Linked DNA regions of Tribolium castaneum. The protein of the gene in region 2 purifies or fractionates together with the protein of the main gene of each other region. This does not show direct contact. Links are inferred from orthologs where the notes say so. Each region holds a gene or a part of one and is shown on either strand. Other genes may lie near its edges. The genes, in order: protein LTO1 homolog and pix.

The links.
Region 1: the proteins of pix (region 2) and protein LTO1 homolog purify together in Homo sapiens (affinity purification with mass spectrometry; 4 studies listed by BioGRID and IntAct, with this or other methods). This does not show direct contact. The link is inferred for Tribolium castaneum from reciprocal best matches to the Homo sapiens genes ABCE1 and LTO1.

The regions. Positions count from the first base shown.
Region 1 is NC_087397.1:2,016,048-2,018,808, reverse strand, and holds protein LTO1 homolog, read left to right. Parts: upstream 1-1,502; coding exon 1,503-1,509; intron 1,510-1,559; coding exon 1,560-1,957; downstream 1,958-2,761. Other genes in the region: post-GPI attachment to proteins factor 2-like, read right to left, coding at 1-16, 64-282, 332-593, 639-815; probable methyltransferase-like protein 25, read left to right, coding at 1,960-2,761. UniProt on the Homo sapiens protein: The complex LTO1:YAE1 functions as a target specific adapter that probably recruits apo-ABCE1 to the cytosolic iron-sulfur protein assembly (CIA) complex machinery. May be required for biogenesis of the large ribosomal subunit and initiation of translation.
Region 2 is NC_087394.1:21,654,591-21,658,618, reverse strand, and holds the end of pix (protein Pixie), read right to left. Parts: intron 1,952-4,028; coding exon 1,830-1,951; intron 1,773-1,829; coding exon 1,372-1,772; intron 1,318-1,371; coding exon 1,121-1,317; intron 1,068-1,120; coding exon 785-1,067; 3' UTR 679-784; downstream 1-678. UniProt on the Homo sapiens protein: Nucleoside-triphosphatase (NTPase) involved in ribosome recycling by mediating ribosome disassembly. Able to hydrolyze ATP, GTP, UTP and CTP. Splits ribosomes into free 60S subunits and tRNA- and mRNA-bound 40S subunits.

The DNA.
Region 1 (2,761 bases), on a different chromosome or scaffold from region 2:
GCAAACCAACTGAAAGCTTTACAAAAAAAATATTAATCCTGATTTAATCACACAGTAACTTACCCATAACGTGGCACAACAATCTATGTTTGAGAAAAAACGCAACAAGTCCCACCGTACTGACAAGTGACAGAATTAGGAGACTTTTTTTAATCAAAAGACCTCTTTGAACACGTTCGAGATCGTTATTCGTTTCCGCCACCCATCTTATACCCTTGATGCAGGCGAGCATGTGCATGAGGCTGCTCACCATAAAAATTATGAACAGTTTTTCATGAATTGCTACAATTATTTTTGATTATTAAAAAAACTGGCCACGGTGGAAACGTACGATAGTTTTCCCTGTTTGAAATGTACGTGACGCCGCACAGCGACCCAATTTCCAGAACATTCAGCCAGAAGGCGAAATTCAGCCACCACTTGGCCTTTTCGTGGTACTTCGAGGATGCATTGATGAGATTCAAGTGATAGGATTTGTGTACAGCGGCGATGATAAATCTTGGTCCAATGTGAAATGCAACGCTGATTCGCCACAAGTACCTCTGGGGGCTGATCCCCGTGATTGCGCTTATTGACGGTATGATATTATAAACCTGCAAAAATGCGTTTTTCCGGGGAATTCCCCAAGCTGAACTTACACGACAGTGGGTTTCGTGGATGTCGTCCGGTTGGAAAATGTAGGCAGTTACGAAACAGATAATAAGGGCTAAAAGGGGGCACGATACCGTCACTAAACAAAGGTGTTTGAAACTTAGCATGTAATGCACAATGAAGTTTTCCACGACTATATTTTCTTTGGTGGTGTTGGACTTCATTGTGGAAGAACAAGCGGAAGAGCTAATTCGCGGAGTCTAGAACTCGGAATGAGTTGAGCTTTTATTCATAAGGTTGGAAAGACATTCTAATTTTAGTTGTGGAAATAAATAAACACCGAGTTACCGAGGAAGAATTTTGACAAGTTGCCTGGTTTGAGGTTGGTTTTGGCGCCAACCGGGCAGGGTTTAAAGTTTTTCGTGCAACTCAACGGTACTGACTTTTTTAGACTTTTTGGTGATAATTTGCAATTGTGGCGTTTGAACGAACTTTATTTTAATGTTAGACGAACTCCATTTAGTGTTTTAAATGTGTAGTTAGATTTGGATAATAGGACTTGGATGTCATTTGGATCTACTTATCCTATACCCACGGGGACCTATTTTTTGTCTATTGCAGGGAAATTGTGCAAAATAAGTAAATATTTAGCTTAAAATGGGTTTTTAGGTGATTTTTGGTATGTTTAACGAGTGTTTTCCAGTTTAGTTTTTTACCATTGATTTTTTTGGAGGACTTGGTGGCCATGGTATTGCATACACAGCAGGGTTTAAAATCCTAACCTTTTTTTATGGTGCAATTTTTTGATTGAAACTTTGTGATTATTGTACCGATTTTTTGTAAATCTGCAATTATCATTTGTGTTACACACGTTTCGCAAGTTTTGTGCTTGATAAGCGTTATGCAAGACCATGACAGGTTAGTTTTTTGTCCACTTGAAAAAATGTTAATTTACATTTCCCCATCAGATGAGCCCGAAAAAGACATTAACGATGTTTTCTCCGACATTCTCCTGAGCGAGGACCGCATTTTCGAGCAAAGTTACAACCAAGGCTACGAATTAGGAAAAGGGGAAGAAAACATCGAAGCCTACCACTTGGGTTATCATCGTGGGGCCGAATTAGGTGCAGAAATCGGTTATTACACCAGTATTACGTCATATTATTTAAGCCATAAATCAGGTGACGAAAAAATCGTCAAAGAACTCGATACTTTGAAGGAAATGTTAAATTCTTTTCCCAGAGAAAATGACCCAAATGTTGATATATTAGAACTCATAGGCAAAATTCGAGCGAAATTCAAAAAAATCTGCGCGGTTTTGAAACTACAACCCTCTTTTCCCGAGTCTGACAAACTTTCGTTTTAATCATGTCTTCGGTGCACATTAGACAAACAATTGACAGTCTTTTGGCGTTTCTGGAACCATTGTTGGGTTTTGCCAACTGTCACATGGTAGATTTTTACACCCAGAATTCCTACAAAAAATTTGTATCTCCGGAAATTCAAAACGAAATCGAACAAATTGGTTACGAAAACACAATCAAGCGCATTTTCCTGAACGAGTTTGACGCGACCCCTCATTTGAAACAATTTGTCGAAGACAGCTCAAAATTTACGTTAAAAAACTGCCACGTGTGTCTCAATTTGGACTCTTTCACTCAAAAACTGCAATCGTGGGGCTGTGATACTTTAGATACGTTCAAACTCGAGATTTTCATGAATGCGAAAAAATCGCACGAGGTTGAGATTTTAAGCGCCGTGGCCGCGGCCCTATTCCGGGTCTCGCAAGCGTCTCATGTGGTGGATTTGGGCGATGGCAAGGGCTATCTAAGCTCGATGTTAGCCCTCCAACACCAAATCCCGGTCGTGGGAATAGACGCGTCCAACACTAACACTTGTGGGGCTATCAAGCGCGCCACCAAACTCTCCAAAGTGTGGAACGGCATCCCCAAGGCGCCCCACAAATCGCTCCCTAAAAAAACCGAAAATTTCGCCAGCCCCCACGTTGAACTTTACAAACAAGTCACGCGGTTTGTTGACGAAAGGTTCGACTTGTTGGGGCTTGTGCGGGACGTTTTTCCCAACGTGTCTCACCTGGGGCTCGTGGGGCTCCACACGTGTGGCGACTTGGCTGCCAGTTCCTTGAAAATTTTTAGTAGAAATGAGGCAG
Region 2 (4,028 bases):
TATACATAACGTTAAGTCGCAATTATTAATTCTATTAACTTAACCATTACCGTCTTTATACAAGACGGACGAAGCGGCATATCGAATTTGAATTCCATAGGCAACTTGATGAACAACCATTTTGGAACACAATGTAGAATATCTAGTAAGTATTTATTTCCGGCTGGACATTTGTTGACAAATGAATCCCGTTAGGGCTTGTCTGGGAAATTTTTTTGGCACATACCAGGTGAATTTGATAGTTTGGAACATATTTTAAGGGCTGATAGTAAAGCTCAAAAGAATGCAAAATAACTCAACGTGCTTTTTCCGATTGTTTATAGTTTCCGGGATAGAGCGTTTTAGTCGGAGGATAAATTTCAATTTACGGGACAGCCTAAAACTTTATCAACGAAAATTGATAAAAAATAGTATCTTTGAGCTTAGTTCTTCAAAAACTATTTCATTCCTTTAAAAAAAATTGTAACATCCACGATCGATGAAATCAAAAATTACCACTTTTGTTAAGATTTTGACATAAAATAAAAAATTAATGTGTCATTTATTATTTAAGTCTGTATTTAAGTGCAACCAAGGTCTAAATTTTATTTCAGTGACTCATTAAACCCGATTAGAATGACACGTCCAACATCAATATTCATGTTATTAGAGTTTTAATGAGAAGTAAACACAAACACATAATGATAATAATCCGTTTATTATCCTTCCACATATATTATATTTGTTTATAAAAACAGAAACCTGTAAAGAGCGCCATATAATACACAATATTTCATAACAAAATTTAATCCTCCAAAAAGAAATACTGTCCTGACCGTTTCTGCTCAACATCCTTAACAGACTCTTGCTTGTTTATTCTGGGTCTAAAATTATTAGGATCCCGCCTAAATGTAATCCCTAACAACTCCAAAAATCGGTTCATTCCAGCTAGAAGAGTCTGTGGCGAGTTGGCTGTGGTCTTAACAGATGGCGTACCCTCAAATACAATCACGCGGTCTGCCAGGTAAGTAGCCATGATGAAGTCGTGTTCTACCACAAAACCTGTCTTCTTCGCATGCAAAATAAATCTAGAAGAAAAAAATCACACATCCAAAAACTACATTTTTTGGTGAATGCAAACCTTTTGATTACTTTAGCAGCCATGAGACGCTGCTCGGAATCTAAGTAGGCACTGGGTTCGTCGATAAGGTAGACATCAGCTGGTTTGCCCAAACACAGAGTTAGAGCCACACGTTGCAACTCACCACCAGACAGATTTTGCACCTCTTGGTCGATAATATCGTCGATTTTAAGCGGCTTAGTGACGTCAGCCATAAACTAAATTACAAGATGGTATCAAAGACCACACAAAATAACGCAACAAAATAATACCTGTGGGTGGATGTAAGCGTCCCTGATTTTCTCGTGTAACAATTGTCGGACTAATCCCTGAGATTTCGGACTGATCTTTTGCGGCTTGTAACTGATATGAAGTTGTGGTAATTCCCCGGAACCATCATCGGCTTGTAAATTGCCGGCCAACATTCGAATGAATGTTGTTTTACCGGTGCCGTTTTCGCCGAGTAAAACCAAAATTTCGGAATCGGAAAATTGGCCTTTGACCACGTTTAGTTGGAAATTTCCCATGGTTTTAGTCATCGAAGGGTACTCGTAATGGTTCATACGTTTTATTTCCTCTTCATTGGCAGATTCAGCCACTTTGAACACTAAAGATTCGTCACGGAAACGCAGATTTTCGGTTGGAACAAAACCGTCCAAAAATATATTAATTCCTTTGAGACAGAAATTATAATTACGTTTGGGAGTCATTTTTTTTTAGTTTTTTTTACCTTCACGAACGGAGAATGGCATAGTAACCACACCATACGCTCCAGGAACACCATACAAACAACAAATGAAATCTGATAAATAATCTAAGACGCTGAGATCGTGTTCCACGACAATTATAAATCTGAAGAAAAAAAGAAAAAGTTAAAATTAATTACCTTTTTAAATTCCTTAAGGATAAATGAAAACAAGATACAGTGTGTTCCAAAACTAACAGATGGCGCGGAAATTACAATTTATTCTAGGCACTGGCTAAACGACCACCGGCAGTACTCTTAGTTAATACTAAAAAGACCGCCGTCTGGCGGCTTTATATGCGGACGTATGAAAAAGCCGCTGAAAATCGGAATTAAATTTAAATAAATTAAATTAGTCAAAGCGGTATGATATAAATATAGGTCGGTCGGCGGTTTTTTTAATTGAAAATACCAAATACCGCCGAAATTTTGTCATACCTAACTCTAATTCTAATTATTCCAATATCAACTTTTTTTTTGACAAAAAATTAATTCAGTTGAGGTGGTAATCATCCTGTGATTGCAGTCTTTGTGAAGAAAAATTGTTTGAAGATAGGTTGCTACTTATTTATTAAGCATAACTTATTAGAAACAAAAATTTTCTGTTATAGGTATATCGAGAAATTTTTGTTAGATTTTTTCACCGTCAGAATAAAAAAATCACCAAATGACTACTTTATTCTATAGAATTTTTGTTGTATGGCTTTAATTGACGAAATCTAATCTAATTTACCAATTTTGCTTTTTAAAGCTATATGATCTACTTTTATACCCGATTTTGACACACAATTGTCTTAAAAAACAGACCACAACTAAATGAAATAATGTGCCATAGTAACCACTTGTAGAAGAAAGGTGTACTACGTCTACTCGTATCTATGAATAAGCAACATTATTACTACCTATAAGAGAAAAAAATTTTTTTTACTATTTTATAGTATACCTACTGTACATTCTTCGATTAGTTTTTTCAAAAATTAAATGAACATTTGTATTGTGCAAGTGAACAACAGTCGTGTGGACATACGGAAATGTAAGAATTAAAATTAGGTATGTCATAGTTTTTAAGCGGTACTGTAAAAATGTGATCGTTTTATTTTATATTTTATATTTTTTTATATTTTTTTCGTTTTTAAGTTCAATTTTGTGATCAATTTTTCTGAATAGCAACCTACCATAGAACAATTTTTTTTGGTCTAGACTGCAAACAAGGAATTACAACCACCTCACTTAAATTTAGTTTTTGTCAAAAGACATTTTATTTTCATACTGGATTGTCATTTGAGAAGAAAATATGCATAACAAAATCAAAATAATATTTCATATTTATGTTATTTCTAGCCTTATACCTTTCACCAATTATTATTTTTGAAGACTACTCCGGGTCTATATTTCCTATGGAAGAAAGTCTTTTAATATGCGATCTGTGCTTTATTTAATTCAACATTATTTCCCATCAACAATAAGTGTTAAAAAGAAAATAATTGGTAGTGTAGGTAGTTATTTTTGTACTAAAGGCATAAAGGCAACAGACAAATCCAAGGGCCTTCGGCTCGAGATTTGTAAATTATAAACATTGAGTTATGCTAGAGGTTCATATAATGATATAATTTTTACTTTAAAATTATTTACTACTTATTAGCCTTGATAACAGCGGGCGTTATCATAACACAACGCCCGCTTATTGTGCCCTAGGGCGAAATGAATGGAGTAATGTAACGGGTGTTAAAGATATAAACAACCAATTACAAGTGAAATTACAAGAGAAAAATAAAATCTTTAGCCTTGTAGTGGACTTTTGGAAATAAAGTGGCTCTTGTTTTAACTTAAAATTATCAATAATTAATTCGTAAAACTCTTCATTTTTAATGTTTAATTTTTTTTCAGTAACCATCTTATTGCTCTTTTTTTATTATAATGTTGGCTTAATTTATTGACGAATTCTGATAATAATAAACTTTTTTTATTTTACTTTGTAGTAAAATAGAACAAATTTCAATTCTTGATTAACATTAACATTTCGATAAAAACACAAAAATACATTTCAAATTACTTGATTTTGTCCCACATTTGGTTTAACTATGTCGCTCCCTGTATTTACTAAACGATACATACAGACACAAATCGGTCAAATATACAGGGTGAGTCTTTGATATGGGCGTGCTCGATTGCTCCTTCACTGAC